Lonchura striata: one gene and its partners. The main gene of each other region encodes a partner of the protein of the gene in region 3 in a complex. Links are inferred from orthologs where the notes say so. Each region holds a gene or a part of one and is shown on either strand. Other genes may lie near its edges.

What was found.
Region 1: the proteins of MAD2L1 (region 3) and MAD1L1 are in contact, whole or in part, in a crystal structure (PDB 1GO4), measured with the Homo sapiens proteins. The link is inferred for Lonchura striata from reciprocal best matches to the Homo sapiens genes MAD2L1 and MAD1L1. Residues at the interface, in NP_002349.1 of Homo sapiens: Tyr38, Leu61, Tyr64, Asn67, Val68, Trp75, Gln82, Lys83, Ser89, Ile91, Glu92, Ser93, Gly94, Arg99, Gln101, Ser150, Phe151, Asp152, Leu153, Leu154, Ile155, Tyr156, Thr157, Asp158, Lys159, Asp160, Leu161, Val163, Lys166, Trp167; in NP_001013858.1 of Homo sapiens: Glu527, Arg528, Ala530, Leu531, Gln532, Gly533, Asp534, Tyr535, Gln537, Ser538, Arg539, Thr540, Lys541, Val542, Leu543, His544, Met545, Ser546, Leu547, Asn548, Pro549, Thr550, Ala553, Arg554, Leu557.
Region 2: the proteins of MAD2L1 (region 3) and MAD2L1BP are in contact, whole or in part, in a crystal structure (PDB 2QYF), measured with the Homo sapiens proteins. The link is inferred for Lonchura striata from reciprocal best matches to the Homo sapiens genes MAD2L1 and MAD2L1BP. Residues at the interface, in NP_002349.1 of Homo sapiens: Tyr33, Arg45, Thr52, Leu54, Lys122, Asp126, Glu127, Arg129, Ser130, Arg133, Gln134, Thr136, Ala137, Thr138, Thr140, Phe141, Leu142, Leu144, Glu179, Val181, Arg182, Leu183, Arg184, Tyr199, Asp205; in NP_055443.1 of Homo sapiens: Pro61, His79, Tyr82, Gln83, Gln85, Pro88, Leu89, Pro90, Gln93, His96, Ala185, Leu187, Arg188, Phe191, Arg192, Phe195, Asp198, Ala199, Phe200, Ser201, Glu202, Leu203, Gln204, Ala205.

The regions. Positions count from the first base shown.
Region 1 is NC_134618.1:13,418,054-13,425,466, reverse strand, and holds the start of MAD1L1 (mitotic spindle assembly checkpoint protein MAD1), read left to right. Parts: upstream 1-4,325; 5' UTR 4,326-4,354; intron 4,355-4,416; exon of another isoform or gene 4,417-4,675; intron 4,676-4,949; exon of another isoform or gene 4,950-4,976; intron 4,977-5,478; 5' UTR 5,479-5,482; coding exon 5,483-5,632; intron 5,633-6,849; coding exon 6,850-6,990; intron 6,991-7,413. Other genes in the region: NUDT1 (oxidized purine nucleoside triphosphate hydrolase), read right to left, coding at 499-650; MRM2 (rRNA methyltransferase 2, mitochondrial), read left to right, coding at 1,237-1,274, 1,933-2,183, 2,881-3,305. UniProt on the Homo sapiens protein: Component of the spindle-assembly checkpoint that prevents the onset of anaphase until all chromosomes are properly aligned at the metaphase plate.
Region 2 is NC_134605.1:36,067,337-36,073,206, reverse strand, and holds MAD2L1BP (MAD2L1-binding protein), read right to left. Parts: upstream 1,899-5,870; coding exon 1,713-1,898; intron 1,102-1,712; coding exon 571-1,101; 3' UTR 558-570; downstream 1-557. Other genes in the region: GTPBP2 (GTP-binding protein 2), read left to right, coding at 3,106-3,288, 5,441-5,467. UniProt on the Homo sapiens protein: May function to silence the spindle checkpoint and allow mitosis to proceed through anaphase by binding MAD2L1 after it has become dissociated from the MAD2L1-CDC20 complex.
Region 3 is NC_134606.1:70,014,646-70,022,240, reverse strand, and holds MAD2L1 (mitotic spindle assembly checkpoint protein MAD2A), read right to left. Parts: upstream 2,957-7,595; 5' UTR 2,912-2,956; coding exon 2,830-2,911; intron 2,654-2,829; coding exon 2,507-2,653; intron 2,424-2,506; coding exon 2,303-2,423; intron 2,007-2,302; coding exon 1,903-2,006; intron 1,425-1,902; coding exon 1,252-1,424; 3' UTR 603-1,251; downstream 1-602. UniProt on the Homo sapiens protein: Component of the spindle-assembly checkpoint that prevents the onset of anaphase until all chromosomes are properly aligned at the metaphase plate.

The DNA of each region.
Region 1 (7,413 bases), on a different chromosome or scaffold from region 3:
ACAGTGCCTTTTTACTGATTAAATTCCACAACTCAGCATTAGCACTTAAAAATGTCACCATACAATCAAATAATAAGCAGTTTGGTTAATAATTTAAATTAAATAAGTTGTAATTCTCCTATATAGCCAAAATTAAGCCCTGCACCTCTCTGAAGAGTGCAAGAACCTCCACCCACCACTCAGACTCATTCTCAGTTTAAATCAGAGTCCAGGAGATGGGACAGAGGATATAGGATGTTCCAATTGCTCAGAGACTGGACGAGTTTAAGATTTGCAGATGACAAAGGGCAAGTAATCCTGTTTCTCTGTACATGTGGATGATCCTTCATTATCTGTGGAGCAGGTGTTCAGAGGTGGGTCATGACTGCACTGGTGGGTAACACGAGGGTGTCACTGACCAGACAAGCCGTGGTACCTCCACCTGCAGCCCACTGCCGATGGTCCAACACCTCACCTGTGCCTCCATGCCTGTCCCCATGGCGCGGACCCAGCCCTCACCTGCGGGCAGCCTCCTCGATGCTCTCCCCGGGCTGCACCTTCCCCCCGAAGCCATTCCACAGCCCGGCGCCGAACCCGCGCTTCTTCATGCCCAGGAGGACGCGGGACGGCTGCACCACCAGGACTAGGGTGAAGAGTCTGGACGTGTGCATGGCTCCTGGGAGAGGGACGAGGCGGCGCGCTGTGCCAAGAGCTCCCGGCCCCCTTCGGAGGGAGCCGGGGGCGCACAGAGCCCCTCACGCCCAGCACCCCGCCCCAGTGCCCGGTCCCTCTATCGCTCCCACTGACCTCGCTTTCCTGCTACCTCAGCACCGCCTTCCCAAAGTTCGACCCCCCCTTCCCAAATCCTTGTTTCCCCACACCCCCGGGAATCCTGACCACCTTTAACACCCTCCTCTCCCAGCACCCCTTCTCCCAATCTTCGACCCCCTCCGCAAACCCCTGTCCCCCCAGATTATTCTCCGACCACCCTCAACACCCCTTCCCCTAATCCCTGCGCCCCTAGAAACCCCTCCCCAAATTCTAAATCCTTGCTGCTCCTAACCTCCCTCCCTGAATCCTTAACTCGCAGCTCCCCTTCCCCACATCATCGACCCCGACCCCGCGCGCACCTCAGCCCCACAGCCGCGGTTTCCCGCCCGCCGCGGTGTCCCCCTCAGCCGCGGCCCTTCCCGCGCCGCCGCCGCCCCGCCCGCGGCCGCCGTGAGGGGAGGCGGGACGGGGCGGGCCGCGGCGGCCATGGCGGCCGCGGGCGGCGCCGCCATTGCCGGGGGCAGGTGCGCGGCGGGGTCGCTGAGGCGACCCCACGCAGGGGATGGTGGCGTGTCGTTCGTGCCGGAGCTTCACTCGGGAATGGGTTAATGGGTGTTTGGGGTTTTAGGGTTATGCCGCCCGGCGGTTCCCGTGGCTGTTGGTTGCTCTGGCGGGAGCTGGCAGGAGCTCGGGCGTCCCTCCGATCCTCTGAGCGGTCGCGGGGGGCAGCGGCCCCGCTGAGGCAGCTCAGGAGTGCTGGGCTCACTCTGCCATGTCGTGTCCGTAAAACACCTGAGCAGAAGCTGGAGTGGGATCTCTTTCCCCCCTTAGCTCAGGATAACACGTGAGGCCTCATCCAAAATCTGACCCTGCTGTTGTGATAGGACCTGATAAGTAAAGGTGCCAAAAATCTCAAATTTAGGGGCTTCTTTTTAGAATCAGGGAATGGTTTGGGTTGGAAGGGACCTCTGGAGACCATCTAGCCAAATAACCCTTCCAAGGCAGGGTCACCTGGAGCAGGTGACATAGGAACGTGTCCAGCTGTAGTGAGAATCTCCCTACAGTGAGACTCCACACCCTCCCTGGCTGCCTGTAGTGGCTGGAATTAATTACTGTAGAGACTTCTGAAACACAGAGTGGTTATTTACTAACTTGCCTCTCTTCCTGGCTTTGCATGAGCAGGTGCCTGCACACCACAGTGAAGTTTCTGAGGAAAACTGGAGCTGAGCAGAGGTGGTTGGAGCGGCACTTGAAGGATCCCTTTGTCAAGGCATCGAAGCAACAGCATTACCGATGCCGGAGTGCCTTCAAGTTGCTGGAAACTGATGACAAGCTCCGTGTTCTTCGTCCAGGATTTTCTGTTCTTGACTGTGGAGCAGCACCTGGTGCTTGGAGCCAGGTTGCTGTACAGAGGGTCAATGCCTTAGGTACTGGTAAGTGCAATTTTTTGGCAGGCAAGATGGGGGTGATACTCCTCTTGATGAGTGTGACAGATCTGTGAAATACTATGGAATGTAAATTGAAATACTATGAAATCAAGGAAATATTATGATGGTAACAATGTGGGGAGGGGACATGGGTACTGGCAAGTGCCAGAGTCACTGATAAAAATATGAAAGGGTGAGCCTAGTAATTCTTCATATAGAAAAATTGTGTTTATGAAATAAAACATACCATGTGGTGCTAGTGATCTGATTAGCTGATTAGCTGTTGTCGGGAAGATCCCTTCATCCAGTTCTGAAATAGGTGTGACTTCTAGCAATTACCTTGGCTTATTTAAAATATTGTTTCCCTTCTCAAAAAATGGAAGCAACTTCTTTGCATGGTTTATATGGGTGAAGCCATTGATGTTTACAAAGTGAGGTGTTATCTGCAGCATTATCCAGGATTTCTGGACTGTCAGCCTTATAAGAGCAGCAGAAAACCAAAAAGAAGCCTCCTTGTTTATCCAAAGTAGCTGAGTTTTTGTGTCTTGAATGGATGAGATTATAGCAAATCCAGCAAACTGCCAGGGGAGGAGAAGGCAGCTGTGGCAGGTGGTGGGTTTTGTCTACTGACAGACACAGAGCTCGTGCATGTGCAGTTTTTTGCAGCCTCTCTGAGTGTTCCCTGTGTCATTCCTCCTTACAGATGCTGCTGTCCCCACTGGCTTCGTGCTTGGTGTTGACCTGCTGAGGATTTCTCCCCTGGAAGGAGCGGTTTTCCTGTCAGAGACTGACATGGCAGAGCCCAGCACGCTGAGGGCCATCCAGAGCCTGCTTCCCTTGGGGAAGGCAGATGTCATCCTGAGTGACATGGCACCCAACGCCACGGGCATCAAAGAGCTGGATCATCAGAAGCTGATCAGTCTGTGTTTAGGCCTTCTGGATATGTCCCAAAGCATTTTAAAGCCAAAAGGAACGATGCTCTGTAAATTCTGGGATGGATCCGAGGCCCGTCTGCTGCAAAACAGACTGAAGGAGCAGTTCCAGGATGTGAGAACTATAAAGCCTCAGGCCAGCCGGAAGGACTCTGCGGAATCTTATTACTTGGCAAGGCTGTACAGAGGGAAATGAAAGTCATGAGCTGCAGATTCTCTGACATGGATTGGAAATCTCAATTTAGTGGGTGTTGAAAGGAAAATCCCACCATTAAGACCTTGGGAAAATTTGTTGCTCTTCTTTAAGTCCATCAGGCTTTTCAAATACTTGCAGACAAAATGGTTGGGAATGGAGAGGAATAATCTGAAAGGCAAGCTCTGGGAATGGAGTAATGGAAATTAAAATAAAATGCTGATTATACGAGTTTTTAATGTGTGCCTGAAAATCATTGCACTGTTAATGCTGCCAGACATGAGACTGACCATAAAGGTGATCGTTAGAACGTGAGGAGAACATGAGCAAAGGGGAGTTTGAGCCAATTCAGTGCCTTTCAGAAGCTGGTGTGATTTATTAGCAGGTCACAGGTAAAAAATAGAAAATGTGTCTGTGCACATCAGGATCTGTCATGCATGGTGTGTAGCACAACCATGTGAGAGGCACGGCTGACTTGGGAATGTTCAGCCCCATGGCTCTGCTGCCTCTCCCACAGTACAGGTTATATTTAGGAGTTGCTGCCTCCTGGCACTCCTAAATCCCGTCAGTGCCAGTGGGACAGGGTCATGGCCACGCAGCTCATCTCCCCAGTGCTTTCTAGGTGTGGCCAGTGGTGTTTCTCAGGCGAAAAGACAAGATATTCCTAAGATCCCAGTAGGGAGAATGACTGAATTGCCAGAAATCTGCTTGCACAAATAAATTCAGCTGCTGCCTTATCTGAAAGCGACAAATTTCATATTAAACGCTGCTTTTATCGGGCTGACCGTGGCATGAGTTATATGAGAGGCTGTTTTGAAGACTCCAGGCCTTTCTCATCACCACCTTGGGGCTGCTGGCTGGATCCCTGCCGGAGCAGGAGGGCGCGGGGCGCTTTTTGGGGGTGCGGCCCGAGCTCTAAGCTTCACCGCCTCTTATCGGGGCATTACGGTAGCGCGCGGAGGGCTGCGCGCATAATGCCGCCCTTACGGCCCACGGCGCCGCCGCTCTCGCGAGAGGCGGGCGCGGAGTTCCCGCGAGACGCCGTGGCCGGGGTGAGGAGGGAGATCCAAGCGGGGCGCGCGGCGAGCGCTGAGGGAGGCACGGGGAAGGGGCGCGGACGGGGGAAACGGAGGGAAGGAGGCTCCGGCCGCGCCCGTCCCGCCCCGCTCTCCCCCAGGGGAGTCGTGCCGGCGAGCCCCTCGGTGCCCGGAGCTGCCCCGTGCCCGCCGCGGCCGCTCCCGGTGCTCGCTGCCCGCCGCGGGTCCCTGCGTACCCTGACGGGTTTCTGGAGCGGACCGGGTCACACACACCGAAGTGTCGTCGTAATCGCTGGGAGGTTTGGGAACGGGCTTGCTGGAGCTGCCTGCCGGCAGGTGCGTTTAGTTCTCCAGAGCTCGGTTTGGGTTTTGGCAGATCTGTTGGTTCTGCGCCGCTCTTATGCTTCCTGCTCGTGATGCTGTAAATACAAACAGTAACTGCTGTGTAACCCCGGGAGTGCAGGAGCCCCGAGGCAGCCCCAGGTCTCTGTCTGTGCTGCATCCATGGGGATGTTGTGGCTGCCCTTCCTGGTCCTGGACCTTTTCCGGTGTTCCTGGGGATTTATGGAGCGTGCAGTCACTGGAGGGACTCACCTGAGGTTTCCTGAAATCTGGGGAACCTTGGAGCCTTTCCTGAGTGAGCACCATGCTTGATTTCTCTTTGGCCTTTTAGTTAGTACGCTTCTAAATTGGGAGGAAAAGCTGTATCTCATTATATAAATAATTCGATGCAGTTTCACTTATACAAGTGATCAGTGGATTTGGGAAGACTTGTTGGAAATTAGAGTCCAAAGTGCTTCTGGGAAACCAGAGACAAGTTGTGTAGCAGGAAGGGTTTGCTGCTACTGTGGAGTTAGTTCTTCTCCCATCAGATTCAAAAATTAGGGGGAAGAAAAATGAGTTTGGTTTGGTCAGAGAAGAAGATGCTGTCTTGCATCTTTTTCTCATTTCAGAGGAAATTACAATGTCAGCCTGGATCATGTTTTCTGTGGATCCCAGCAGTGCAGATTGCAGATTGATTCTTACCCTGTAAATGGGAAGACCTCGTGTTTAGTCTTTCCTCAGGGCAGTGATGGATCCCTCTTTAGCAGAGCATCTTGCTCTGAGTGTTTTGCTGATGATTTTCTGTCTATTTCCAGAGCCATGGAGGACTTGGAAAATAATACCACTGTCTTCTCCACCCTGAGATCCCTCAACAACTTCATTTCACAGCGAATGGAGGGAGTGTCTGGGCTGGCTACACCTGGATCTAGTCAAAGCTCCTTACAGATGCAGTACCAGCAGAGGATGCAGGTGAGGAGTCCTCATCTTGGTGATTCCTGCAGCACCACTTCAGTGTGGCCATGTGCTCCTTTTGATTCTAGGAGCTGGGAATTTCATTCAGTTCTGACCGTTCATTCTGAAACTGACACAAACAAATAAAGGAAGCTTGCTGCCACCGTTCTGGAATATTTTTAGAATATATTTAATTTTTTTACAGTGTCAGTTTTATTTCTGTTTTATAAAAGTTTAAGAAAGGTTCTTTGAATTTATTCCCTGCTAGTTATATCTGTATAGCAGCTCAGGAAATTAAATTATGAGTTGTTTTCATAATGCTGAACAAAGGAGCTTTATACTTTAACATTTTTTCTGGTAAGACACTTTGTTACCTTTTTTCAGGATTTAAAGGCTTCTTTGCCTGGACACATACAGGAGACTTGCATTGAGCTGTGGCTTTGATATGCAAACCAGTTGTGCTTTCTTATCCACCTGAGTTATTTACTTTTTTTTTTGCTGTTAGCTGCTTCAGGCTCATAAAGCATAAAGTAAATTGACAATCTTAGATCCCAGGAACTGTTTATTAGGCTGCAAGGAAGTATCTCTATTCTGTATCTTAATATAATTTCTATTTCAGTCTCCAAGTAAAAAAATGTTTGCTTCTTTTTAATGTAAATCTGCTTTGCATTTGGAACGTTGACAAAAGTTTAAGCTTCTGTCTGTGCTACATCTCTGGTGGCAGCAGTAGTTGCAGGAGGCTTTCTGGTTAGTCTCCATCTGCTGTGTGTTGGATGTACATCATCAGGATGTGAGTAGTTCTTATAGTATTGTCTGTGCTCTCAGGTAATTTGACTGAAAAAATGAAGTGGAACGTTGTAGAGGTTGTGGAAAAATGTGTTATTTTGCTCAGCAGTTAGTTTTATTTGGAGCATGATCTGTGCTTCTTAGGCTTGGAGAATTCATAATTAGCTTTTTAGATAAAGTAGATTTTGTCAGACTACATCTAGAGATTGAGCAATTCTGATTTAGGAACCAGGAATTAGTTTCTTTCCAATTCACCTTGATTTGGTGTGGGTCTCTGAGCATGGTGTTGAACTCTTTGTTTCCCCATCTACAGCTGGTGTGAGAAGTGCCACAAATGTGGTGATAGTTTGTAAAATGGCAAGTTAGTGTCAGCGAGCAGTACAGGGCACCATGATACTGTTGTGCTGTTAATGGTGTGCAATGTCCCTTCTCACACATGAACTGGCCAGCTGGAGGAACAGGCTGGGCAGATCCACTCCAAATCCCAGCTGCTGCAGGTGGAACGGGAGAAGATGCAGATGGAGCTGAGCCACAAACGAGCTCGCATCGAGCTGGAGAAGGCAGCTAATACCAATGCCAGGAACTATGAGGTGAGTGGATGTCTGCTCATGGCTTGGGAGCATGGCCTAAGCCAGAACACATGGAGAGCATTTACATCAATGATTTGGGTCAGGGATGTGCTTTGGTGTGCAGTGTCTGTCTCAGAATGTGTATAGTTACTCTTTGGAGTGAAACCAAGCTGAAAGGTGCATTCCAGGAGCAAGCCTGGTGTTCTCCAACTGCTAATGGACACTGTCTTCAGAGCAGGACTTCAGTGACTCTGGAATGCATTTATTGTGTTTGCATTTACTGCGGGCGTGGCTGTCAAGTTGCCAGCACCAATGCATCTACAGAACTGCTCTGCAGGTCCGCTCTCAGTGCACTGCACTAACTTGCTAATGTGCGCAAGAGTGTGGTCTTGAATCCTCGTTATGTTCACAGACTGATGATCTGATCACTGGATTCTGTTAGCT
Region 2 (5,870 bases), on a different chromosome or scaffold from region 3:
TTTCATCCTGCCCCATTCTTTACCAGCTGGAAATAAATCTCTCTTCCGCAACAATTTTACCTCTGTGTCCCGCTCCAGTTTTGCCTGCTGGTTTTCCTGCTATAGGGAGCCTTTCAAGGACTACAGGTTTTCCTTCCAGATAGTTATTTTGTAACTTCACCTAAGAGAGCCTATGTGTAACATGACAGAGGCAGTGTCAGAAAATAGCCATATTAAAACTCAGGAGGAGATTGTACATATCCAGCCTTTACCAGTTCAGCAAGCATACAGCATGGAAGTTTTACTCCCAACACATTAATTCATCCCATGTCACAGATCAGGTCCCTAAAGAATCGCTGGACCTGTGTGCAACTGTTCCTTAAAGAGGATTTGCCTTCAACAGCTCAGGAAATATGGACAATAGAAGAGCGCAGCAAGATACAGGAAGGCAGTAGACACCATGAAGACAAAAAAATTCAGACAGACATGGTTCAAAAATACATGGTTACATTTGCTAAAATTAACACCTAAAGAAAAAAGGTAATCAGTATTCCAATTAAATATTTCCAATTAAATTTCTACAGAAACCATTCATTCACTAAAGCCTTTGAGGGTCACTGGTGCTTGGAACCAGACGTAGTCCTCCCAAGCAGGTACTGTGTGCTGTGGAGGTGAGGCACTAACATGGAGGTCTCCATCACAGGACAACTTAACAGTCAGCTTCCTCCCTCGGGTCGGCACTTGGTAGTTGAGCTTGGGCCGGAACCACTCAACACCACAGTCACGGTGGCCCTGGACCAGGACAAGAGTGACTGTGACAGGGAGAGCCTTAAGTTCACTAAAGACGTCAGCAACAAACAGGCGGTGAAAGAGCTGGCGAACACAGGGCGCAGTCTCAAGGCTCTCTTCAGCAGAGCCCTCACAGAACCCTTCCAAATTCAGCTCATAGAGCTCCTTGGGGTTGATGACATTGCCTCCAAGTAGGAAAAGAACCCGAGGAACTAGCGTCAGACTAAACATGACTTCCAGGTGCTGGAACAATCCCTCCAGCTCCATCAGCAGCTGCTGGCACTTTCTGCTTGCCAGGCCCAGGGAATGTGGTTTCCCAATTCCAACTCCATCCTGGAAGACAAAAACTCATATTAACACAGTTAGTTATGAACATGTATTATATGCTGCAGAAAGCATGGCCCATCCCAGAGAGTCAAGGAACAAGCAGCTTGTGTTCATTTTGAGAGCTACAGGTACCCACATGGGGAGGATGCACATCTCTCCGCATCACGAAATGGCAAGAGGAACACGAAAGCACAATCCATAGCTACTCAGCTGGAATCTGAATCGCCCTACTAATTAATTCCAATAGGAATTAGAAGCCCATCTTTCAAAGATCAGCCATCTCTCTGAAAACATTTAATAGTATTTTTGTTTGGTTTTTTGCTTAGAGGTAACAAACAAGGCAGTGACACGCTTTGAGCGGAAAGTATGAAACAATCAACTGAGAGCAATTTGTCGGCACCTTCAGCAGCCTGAACTTAACGCTGCCTTTGCCTCGTTTTGAAAAGAAGAGGCAAAGGCATTTAGGGATGCAGCCACAACAAGCGCTTTACTTTAAAGGCACCGACACGTTGCTGTACGAGTCCCCGAGCGAGAACAGAAGCTCGCAAGCAAAATCCAAACGCCGCGGCCCACCCAGTCCCCCGGCCCGGGGTTGACCCGCGGTCGCCGCCCCTCACCTGGGCCGCCCGCCGGCAGAAGAAGGCGAGCTGCTCGTAGGGCAGCGGGAGCTGGTTCCGCTGGTGCAGGACGTGCTTCAGGAGCTCGCAGGCGAAGCGGCAGCCGCTGCCCCGGCACACAGCTCCCGGGAAGGCCACGGCCACGGCGGGGCCGCCCGGCACCGAGGCGTCCCCCTGGGGCCCCATCGCGCCGCGGCCCAGGCCCGCCAGCCCGGGAGCGCGGAGCGAGCGAGCGCCCCAACGGCCGCCGCGTTTGAATGCCGCCGCCGCCGAGCCTCACGGGAAGGGCGCACGGACCGCACCGCGCGCCCTCTGGCGGCGACGCCACCAAGTTTGGCGGGCGTGGCAGGGGCGGAGGTCTCCGCGTAGCCCCGCCCCTCCGTTCCCAACCCGATCCCGGCCCGGGGCCCCTCGGTTGAGGCCGTGCCGGGACCTGGGCTGTGCTTCTTTCAAGGCTATCCGCAGGAGGCGGCTCCGCTCTCCTCAGCCCCGCTCCCGGCAGCTCTGGCGGCTCCGCTGTCTTGCGGAAGAGCCGCCTTCGCGGTGCCGCGGGGTGGCGGAGGCGGGGAGCTTGCAGGGAGTGCCGTGTTTGGAAACATTGTGCCCGCCGCCCCATTGGGTGCCGCCTCCAGCGCATGGCGAGTGGAGGGCGGGATGGTGAGAGGAGCTTTTCTGAGACTGCTTTACAGGAACCGCGGCCACCTGTGTCAGTTCTACACCGACAGTGATCCAGGGTCGCTCTCCCCAGGGCATGCGGCGAGGAAAGAGAAGGCGCAGTGGCCGTGGAACTGGAGATTGGGAATACACTTAGTGAGGGGATGCGGCGCACAGCTACAGGTTCTTTTGCTGTTCCGGCCGCCCTCCGCGTTGGATCTTAACGTGGGCTTTGGGATCGCTCTGTGTCGGGCTGCTGCCTCTGCGTAGTCATGAGATACCTCCAAGGCCAAACAGCTTCGAAAGTGCCTAAGTTTACTGAATCCAGAATGACTGATCGTTCGATATCAATAACTAGGGAACCCGGGGCTGTGAACTGACAAATGGATAACCCACGGGCGTCCGCAGATCCCGGCAGCGGGGCCCGGGGAGCGGCGGTATCCCGCACGTTGTCGACCGGGGCCGACAGGCGGCGCCCTCTCCGTTGGACTCCAGCTCCCATCAGCCCCCGCAGGTAGAACCCATACGGGACCGAGCAAGTCGCGCCGCGGGGCACGCCGGGAGATGTAGTTTTGAGCAGGAGGCGCGCAGCGCGTTCTTGGCGTCGTAGGCGGGCGGGACTCGCTTTCCCGGGGCGCCGCGCGGCTGTCTGTGACGCCGGGGCCGGAGCCGGGCCGGCGGGGCTGGGCGGGGAGCGGAGCGGACGCTGCAGCGGGGCGGCGGGGCCGCGGTGTCCACCATGGACTCCCGGGTGTCAGAGCTGTTCGGGGGCTGCTGTCGGCCGGCGGGCGGCGGGGCAGGTGCTACGCTGCGCGGGCGCGGGGGGGCTGCGCCTGGCGGCGGCGGCGGCTCGAAGACGAAGAAGAAGAACGGGCGGAGCCGCGGAGGGAAGGCCAACAACCCCCCGTTCCTGCCGCCCGAGGTGAGCTCCGGCGGCCGCCGCGTCCCGTCAGCCGCGGAGGGAGCGAGACCAGGCCCGGGGGCGGGAGGGGCCGGAGGGCCGGTGCCCCCCAGAGCGGGTCGGTACCTCGGCCGGACCCCGCTGGCTGGGTCTGGCTGGAGGTGCCGGCGGTGCTGGTGCGGGCCTGTGCCGGGGTCGGGCTGACAGCAGCCGCACGGCCCCGGGAGCCGTGTGCCCGCCTGCCCGGGCTCTCCTCCGGGCCGTGCTCGCGCACCCGGTGCCAGCGAGCTCCCTGCGGGGTCCGCCGGACCCTGCCCGTGAGTGGTATCGCACTGCTTGGCGTCTGTCTGCGGGCGCTTTGCCGCCTCCCATCGAAAAGCTTCGAAAATAAAGCTTTGCTCGCCTCGTACTTCCAAGCATCTCATTTGCATCTCTCCCCGAGAGGCGATCTGCTCTGCTGGGTCTGAGCCCCTTTACAGGTGACTCCCCAGCTAATTTGACAGCTGTTTCCTTGCACAGGGCTGCAGATGGTATGGACAGGGGGTAGGGCACTTGTCTCTTGCAGCAGGAAGAAGTGGCATTGGTAGTAGCGTGGATGTGTGCTCAGCTGGGGCAGTTGTCACCGCTTTCATAGAACTGTCACTGTGGGGGGAATTACATTGGTTCAGACTCCATTGCTCGGCCCCTGTCAGTGAACTTTCTGTAAAATATATAATAGCCTGTGCTGGGAGCAAGCAATTCCTCCACAAGACAGACCTGGTACTCTTGGGAAGATGTGAAAACAGTACTTTGCTAGTGTTAGATCTTCTCCACGGGCAGGACTGTGCCCTGCAGCCGCAGTTGTTCCTTTCAGCTGGAGGCTGGAGAGTCTCTTGTGGTTTCAACTCAGCTTCCTGTTTCTGGCTACCCTGTGCAGTGTGTGCCCCAGCAAGTCTAGGCTCGTTGCTTTTCTAGTCTCAAGAGCCTTGGAGAAGACCCACTCCCTTATTTAGACGACAGTGCAGTAGGTGAATGGGTTTTGCTTAGAACTGGTAGATGGCAAGAAGGGAAAACCTGCTACAAGTACCTTTTTCTCATGGCATAGCTCTGCAGCCAGAGAACTGAGCTGACAATTGAGAACTTCTGTTGGCCTTTTGCCACTGTAAGTGCCACTGTGGTTAAGAGCTGAGCTGGAAGGCAAGGATAGGGCTGTTGCCTCTCCTGACATGCAAATAGGTGTCCAGAGGAAAAGGAAGTGCCTACTGTTGCCAGCCCCATTTAGTCTGACAGAGTATATGGCTTCCTACAGGCTCCAGCCCTTTCTTATTGGTCCTTATAGTGAATCACTGGGAAAAAAATACTTAAATATTGTATATCTAATTTTAAAATTAGATACAATTCTCTTTGGTAAGCTGGAGCCTGTTTTGGTTGAATTGAGTTTGATGAGTACCCAGACCTTTCTGTTACAACCCCATCTAGCCTTCCCTGAGAAAGTACTTCTGAACATATTGGGTACAGACAGTCCCAATCAGGTCTGGCTCTCCAGAACTTTGGCCAGTGACTAGCTAGCAAATGAGTCATTACCATGCTTCTTTATGTCTGTAGTCCTTCCTTGTAGAGAGAAGATACATAAGGATGTAGAAGGGAGTCAATGAAAAAATTAATTGAGTGAGGGAGAGTATCATTGAGCAGGAGAGGAAGCAGAAGCTTTTGTTCTCAGGCCCTTTTTCTGTGCACATTGGATGGATGGAAGCTGCTGGATAGGGTGGGAGTGGGATGCTGTGGGTGGCATTTTGTGGGTCACAGATGGGTGAGGGGTGACACTGTAAGTCATATGCTGGCCTGTACCTTTTTGAAACTGGAACTTTCTCTCTGACTGTTAGGCTGGCCCTATTCTTTACTGTTTAGAAAAAAATTTCCCCCCTGGACAGTACTACCCTTGTACCCCACTCTAGTTTTGTCCTTTGGTGTTCATGATATGGGATACAAACAGCACAAACAAATCATTTGGAAAGTTCTAGTTGAGTGTTGGAAAGAATGGCAGAAAGCTGGGATTAACACAGTCATTTTCTGCCACTTTCCCTCTCTTTGAAATCTTCAGCACCAGCTTCAGAATATATGGGCAGCTGGTGCCTGTAGAAGTCCCTGTGGGCACAGCATCTAACTCTTCTGTCTTGTTTCATTCTCTGACCAGGCAGAAGATGGGAACATCGAGTACAAGGTGAGTCTTTTGAGGTTGCAGAAGGAGGTCTTCCTGCCAGAGGGTTATTTTGCAGTGATTAACTTCACCAAAGACAGCCTATGGGTAACATGGCCAAGGAAAGGATGGAAGAGTGGACACTGCACTAAGGAACTACCATTCATCTTTTGTGTCTCTGTGCCAAGCTTTAACCAGTCTGCTGAGCTGGTAAAGCTGGATCTCAGTACTGATTTTTAGGAATCTCTTCTAGCATGTGATGCCTACTGTATTTTTCTTGAGAGAGAGATGCAGATATTGCTGAAAATTATTTGCCACTTTCTTGTGGCTGCTCTGTCATTTGCACTTATTGGCTCCTGGATCACAGATTGGTCCCAGAGTGCTGTCTTTAATCCTGCAGCAGCCAGGGTACAAATCCCTATGTCAG
Region 3 (7,595 bases):
CCTGATTTAAAGAGCTTTTTTTTTTTTTTGCCTTTTTTTTTTTTTTTTTTCTTTTGCTGTATTGGGACTGCTGGGGAGAAGTATTTCCTGGAAATAAGAAAATGCAAGAAATACAGTCCTGGGATAGGGTATATGTAATCTGTGTTTTTTAAATAAAATTCTGAAATTATATTATTATAACAGAAAGTTCTGCATCACTGTAAAAGAGTGGAAAAACCAGTTAAACACTCTGGCTGGAATGAATTTAGTGAAGGAAGTGAACAAAACCATGTAAGTCTGAAAGTTCCAGAGATTTAAATCCCTAATTTCTTCCACTACAGAAATGGTAAGAACACATGAAAGAGTCCAGTGCTGTTTAACAAATATGGAAGGCAGTGTCATTAGTTCACTGTGACTGTTTAAACTGTTGCTTGAAAACTTAGGTGGGAGCAAAGTGTTAATCCATTAATGGATTTCATACAGAGTCCACACCACATGGAGACTCAGGAAGGAAACAGTTAAGTAACAAGGAGGATGTCTTGGGTGTTGCTTGTGTGACAGTTATAAACTAGAATGTAGCATTCATGGAACCATCTGAAGTACCAAGAACTGTAGACTCTCAATTAGAGAACATAAAACCCGAAGCTTTATTCTGTAACCAAGAATAGAAACATAGAAAACGCTGGACAGACACTACAGACGTACACAGAACAACTGTGTCCCCAGAACCAGAGCCCAGTGGTCATTAAAATAGAAGGCTTCATGTGTTTAAAGTTTTCCTGATAAAACAGCTGCTACCATTGTAGAGTGGTACAAGAATTGTTTGGTTGATTTGTTTTAGGGTTATTTCTGGTAATAAAACAGCCCAGGCTTCTAACATGAAAACTGGCACACTAGGAATGAGATTATTTTAGTTGCTACAGAGAATTTAAGACTGCTAACAGAATGCAGTTTAAGAATAATACAACTCTAGCAACTAATCCTAGATTTAGGCAGTTTTTCTAGCAGAGGCAGTGGTTTAACACACCATTAGTTTAGCTTATTTTACATACAGTAAAGTAAGAATTGAACTATGACCATAAGTACCTTTTTTAAATCTCTTTAAAAATGCCAGGTTAGTCTAGTGTCACAGTATCACAGACATGCACGTTGTCTTTTTGTCATACTTTTATCAAGAGGACAGTAATGATGTGCTCATAGCTTAGCTGCATGATGAACAGAAACTATACAAGGTGACAGGATATTTACACACACAAAACTTGCCCCAGCATCTTAGGGAACAGAATCCTTCTTGTAAGCCACTGTAGTGTTGACCTTGTGGATTGTGGTAGTGAAGGAACGTAGCCGAACCTCTTCTGAATTGGCTATGAACTGCGGTCCTGACTCTTCCCACTTTTCTGGCACTGCCAAATCTTTATCCGTGTAGATCAGCAAGTCAAAGGCACCTGGGAGCAAGGGAAAACAAATTCACCATAAGGACATGGTGGCAGCTTTGAAGTGCAGCTTCTAGACTTAGAGACAAGGATCAAGGTTTTCAGAAGTTACACTGATACTAGTTATGTGAAAAAAAAAAAACCAACCCAAAAGTTACATTAATGTGACATCCTTTTAGTTTTCTCAATAACTAAATTGTGTTGTAATTTTTTTTAAAGCATGTTACAATGCTGTGGAGATGAGCTCTGTATAACATTTCATAGGAGCAAATTATTCATGAAAACTTGCATTCCTCAGGGCAAACACATTAATTTCCTCAAGTTCGTTAAGCCACACCAAGTTCTGTCTTGATCTCATGCTGTCTCACAAACCTGACGGTGCACAATGGGTAATCATTAAAAAGCCTCAGAAAAATATTTTCCGAAGTTGGAAAGTTACTGAGGTTTTTCAAAAGTATTTTATTTCTTTAGTGCACTTTGGAATACTCACAGGCAGATTCCAAGAGTGGCAGGAAGGTTACTGTGGCAGTTATTTGTCTGATGACAGAGCGAATTTCATCCTGAATTGCCTTCTGAGATTTCTCCCGTGGTCCACTGGAAAAATAAGAAAATTCTGGTAAGAGAAGAAACTACTACTGCACTGACAGTTTCCTCTAAATATAGTTATCTTTGTTAAGCTCTGGTAGTCTGTTTGCTAGAGTATTTTTAGAGTAGTAGTGACACTTTTAAGTCCTTAGAAAAGTTAAGTGATAGCTGCTCTCCCTCTATTGTTTTGCAGACAAACAGAGGGCAGGGCACTGAGAAAGCTTTGAAGGAACAAGTCCGTGGCATTGATCTGCCCAGGTACTCAGGATAGGGAAGCGCAGGAGTGGAGGGACCGTGGAACTCACTTGTCATCCTTTGCAGTTTTGTCACACTCGATGTCAAACTGCCACCGCTCCAGGACCTCGCTGCTCTCGATGCTGGAGATGACCACCACCAGGCGCTGCACGGTGCACTTGTACAGCCACTCTGCAAGAAGCCGGGGCAGTCGCTCAGAGCGCGAGAAGCAGCGGCAGGGACACCGCAGGGAGCGCCCCGCCGCCGGCCCGCACCTTTCATCTGCTCGGTCACGTTGTTGAGGTAGTTGGCCAGCTCGGCGTCCGTGGTGACCAGCAGCGTGAGCCCGTACTTCTGCACGCGGGTGAAGGTCTCGGGGGGGTAGATGCCCCGCTGGTACAGGATGCTGTTGATTCCATAGGCTGCACGATTTAGGCGGAGAGGGAAAGGGATGTGTACCAAGCCACCCCCCCCCACGCCCCAGCCGGCGGCCATGTCGCCCCACCAGCCGCGGCCTCCCACCCCCTCCCCTCCCACCCCCATTCTCTCCCTCCCTCTCTCGCAGCGCGGTCCCCGAGGTGCCCCGCGGCCCCCTCACAGAAGAACTCGGCGACGAGCTCCGCGCTGCCGCGCAGGGTGATGCCCTGGTGCTCCCGGCCGAGCTGCTGCTGCGCCGCCATGGCCGCCGCTTCCCCGCCGCCCGGTTCGAATCCGGCCCCGCCCCCGGGCCCGCCCCTTCCCGCGCGCGCGGCCGCGGGAGGGGGGCGCGCGCCGCCTCAGGCTGCCGCGGCGGCTTTCCCTCCGGGAATGGCGATTCCCCGCGCCCCTTAGCCGTGGAAACCGGGCTGCAGCCTGCCGGGAGAGGAAGGGCTCTTTCCCTCCCTGTTAAACTGCCCGGCCGCTCCCGGTGCTGGCGCGTCTGTGGGCGGGGCTGAGGGGAGCGCGGGGCGGGCGTGGAGCGAGTGAGGAGCTCTGCTTTGGGAATGCTGTGGGAAGTTGCGTTTCACTCTGCCGAGGTGTATTCGACCGTACTAACCTAAAAATGGTACTTTCCAGGTATGAATTCAACAAATACTTCATTTACGATTTACTGGTGGCTTTCATGGTGTAAGTCATGCAGTAGCTGTTTGAAATCAAAAATACTATTCTGCAAGCACCCCCCACGTGTGAAGAGGCAGGTGGGGAGAACGTGGATAAACAATATTTAATTCAATCCATAACAACTCCAGAAGTAATAATAAAAATAATAAAGGGTTGAGAACCATTAGGGTTGTTGGGCTGCCTTGGTGAAGGGAATTTGCTACTTGGTCAAACATCTTTAGTCCTGTTAATACAGGGACACCAAGGAAGATGTTGCAACCAGCAGTGTCCGTCACCTGGAGGAAGCTGTGGCAGAGGTTAACAGGTAAGAGAGACTGAGAAAAACAAGGAAATGTTGAAGTATGTTAATAATATGAGGAGGGGAAGTTATGGTCTGTCGGGATAGTAACAAGGTCACCAGCTAATTAGATTATAAAATCAATTGTAAGCAAGAAAATGAAAATTTATGGATTTATGGATGGAGCAGAGCTGCAAATGAAATTAATTATAACTTGAATGTGATTTTTCCAAAGCATCATCTGATATTATCATCTAAGATATACTTGTGTTAGATAACCATATCACCCTTAAAAGAAACAAATTGATCAGTCTTAAAATGAAGTTGTATTCAAAACACAAATATTTATACTGAGAATAAAAACCATGTAATCATTACACAGTACAGTGGGCCAGATGCTAAGAGAGTGAATTGATGGTGTGATTGCTTATTTATTGTAATAAAATACTTTTCCACAAAAGCTTAGGCTTTCTCTTGGTTCCTGTGTTGATCCAAGAGGAAATATGGTTTTTCTCAGGATTCAGGCTGCTGTGATTAAAACAAATGGTATTGTCCTGAAGTCATGTGCTGAAGTTCTGAAAGGGTCTGAATAATTTAATTTAACCAGGGGAGATTTATTCTGGATCTTGTTCACTAGTGATTGTGTTATACATAAGTCTTCTGAATAAAGTATTTTCTGAGTAAGAGTGGTATATTTCCAAGGTTGTAATAATGGAAGCATTTTTCATCCAAAGCCTAACTTTTAGAAGTTCAATTGCTGTGAATATTAGCTGTTTTGCTTAAAACCTTATGTACTGTGGTGCTCTTATTTATCCATCCCCAAATGGTCTCAGTCCTCTGGGGTTTTTCCTACACTTGGCTTCTTGTCCATTTTGTTTTGGAAGAGTTGCTCATTTTTGTGATAAACAGAATAACTTGAAAGCGTGAGACCAGGCAAGAATAGCAGAGCTTTTGATTAATATTTAACACATTTCTCCTCTAGCTGTCTTCCTGTTGAAATCAGACAGAAGAAAGGAATCAAGGTGTTTCTTGGTTTACCAAGTTAATGTCTGTGTTTCAGTTTGGATAGTTTGCACGCACACAGGTGCATATGCTTATCAGTGTCAGACTTATTTTCTTCCTCGTTACTTTTGACAAGGTTCACCTGGCAGACATTGAGAGTGGTTGGTGACCTCTGTTGGAACTCTGAGCTTCCTGCACCTGGCATTTCAGAGTTTTGGGTCGTTTCTCTCCCTGGTTCTGTGCTGTGATTAGCACCAGTTTCTGCCCTGATGTGCTCCCTTCTCCTCCACAACAAATCCCCAACACCTTTGCATTTGGTGCAATTTGCACAACCTTTGGAAATGTGTTGTTTCTTCTGTGCTGTAAGTAAGCTGCAGCTGGCATCTGACCATGGCCGGGCCAGGTGTGATGGGGACATGCACACAAGTCCTTCCTCATGTTCCTGACCACGCTCCATAGACAGTGCCTGCAGTTTGTGGCTGGGAATGCCCAGCAGGAGGAGGGCTCTGCAGCTCTGCCAGGGATCCTGCTGAGGGCGAGTGGCTGATTTGTGACAGGCTGTTTCCTGACCAGCTCCAAGGGACTCTCACGAACCAGGATGACAGGCTAAGTTGTACATTCTGGCACACCAGGAGTTGGCTATCCTTGCTTTAATCATCTCATGATAAAACCTCCATTTTCATAAGGAATGTGAAATCCCAGTTGGATTTAATTTAGATCTCTTACAACTCTTCAGTCATTGTTCAGTTTCTCAGTTACAGCTTGATGTTGCAACACAATTTTTTGGATTCTCATTCTGTGAAGGGAAATGTTCCACATTTAGCTTGGCTTTTCTGCAACATTCAGTGATTATTTCCCCATGGCAATTGTCAGTGAACCATGGGCAATCCAAATCACTAGTATGCCATCATTTTTTCTAAGGCACGCCAGGTCACATTCCCACAGTCATTCAGCACCCTAGGAGACATAATCCACTTGTAAAGTTTATTCCCATTATTTGTTTATCTTTTGACCTTTGGGAGGATGTGGACAAGTCTCTTCTCTCCAGAACAGCAAAATAGCCTATGAAATGCAAGTTAAAACAGTCTTTGTGGCACTAAATTTTGCAGGGTAAGTACAGGTGCCTTCTGTCAGCTGTCAAAATAAAATTTCTTTTCAAGTTTGCTAATCCTATTTTTAGAACATAAAACATGGAATATTATTACAAATATCAATTCTGTGCAATTCATCAAAGGCAATGAGGGTAGCACAACAGTGAAAGATTGTCTTGAACTTCAAGTATTCATGAAAAGAAATGGATACTAAAATGAGTCAGTATGGGCCAATAATCTGCACTAGAACTTGTAATAAGATGATCAGGCTTCCCAAAGCGACTTCCTTTGATTTTGAATGCCGTGTGTAAATTTCTACAGTTAATTTTCTGAATGTATTTTTAAATTAGAGTAAGTCGGGTGAGTACTTATTTCCTTTATAAAAATCACAGAGCTTTGGTGTTTCTCTGCTTAAGCCAGTGTTAGAACTCCATTTAGCTTGTAAGGAGCTATGTCCAGGTAGTGGCTGCCTTGTACAGTGAAATAAAATCTTGTAAATTTTGAGAGTTTTGAAAGCATTTTCTGTAGAACATAAAGTTCTTTTTCCGTTTTTGGGGAAGGTTTTCCTTCGGAGACCTGACATTTTTCTACCAGGAGATGGCAGCAGGCACACGCGTTATCTGCGCCCCTTCAGTTTTGGTTCGAGTACTGCGAGTTGATTTCACCGTTAGTTTCACTGTTAGGTTCTTTACTAGTTTTACACCTTTTTCTAGATTTAAAATATTTTTCCCAGAATGAAGGGGATACTTAATGCCCAGTTTTGTTGTTTATCTTTGGTTTCTGTCGCATTAGAGACAATTTAACAAAGGAATTATTATCTTTAAACATTTCATGTGAGGATAAGAATCTGGTTTCAGAATTGGGAAGAACAGGACTTTACTGAGTTTTTTTGTGCCTTGAGAACTTCTTAGTGCTGGATGATGTCCTATTACACTGGTAACATGCTATGTGAAATCCAATGAATCCTGCTCTTTACAGCTTAATCCCCTTCATTACTTAATCCCCAACCTGAAGGTTTATAGTTTGAAAGGTGAATGTTAATCCAATTCAGTTTAGCTCCTGTCACATCTGAAGTTTTCATATTAATAGATCAATAGAAAACTAGGGAGTTCTCAGGTAGCTTAAATTTACTGAGCCAGTATTATTAAATTTTAAATTCAAAATGAGCCTTCTTAAGTACCCTGGAACATTGATTTATCATTTATAGGTTTGTCAACAGAGACTTTTGGTGGATCATCAGAAAATGAGGAGAAAAGGATCCAGAAGATTGGTAGCACAGTAAATACGGCTTGGTAGTACCATATGGAATTTTGATAGGATTCTGTTGTGTGGTTGCAACATGTTAGATGGGAATTGTTGCTTTATGATTGCTTTCTAATTGTGTTTCTTCTGATGTATAATCATGATGGGCTTGTTCAGTTGATTGTGCAGCAAGAAATACAGTGCAGCTTACATAGTGGCTGAGAATTGGGATGACTGAAGAGGGAAATACATTGTGAAAAGCATGTCATTGGCATTAGAAACATTTGAGGCAAAAAATATGAATATTTCCTTTATTTCCACTTGAAAATTAGATCCTTTATATATATTTGTTTTCCTACAGTTAAATCTCCAGGCAAGTTAGGTGTCCTGTTGGCAGAATGATAATCATTACTGACAACAACTTTCTCCAAAGTATTGGACAGAAAATGGCAAAAAATGATTTTCTAAAGATATTTATTCCTATGTGGTATGAAGAATTATTCAATTAAGATGATTTATTTCAAGAAAAAGTTCTGTTTCCATATGTTTTGAGAAATTTATGCATGCCATTCTAAAAAAAAAAAAAAGAACAATTTGTCACCAATGAATTATAATAGTGAAAAGAGTTGAAATACTTTATGAGGCATGCTC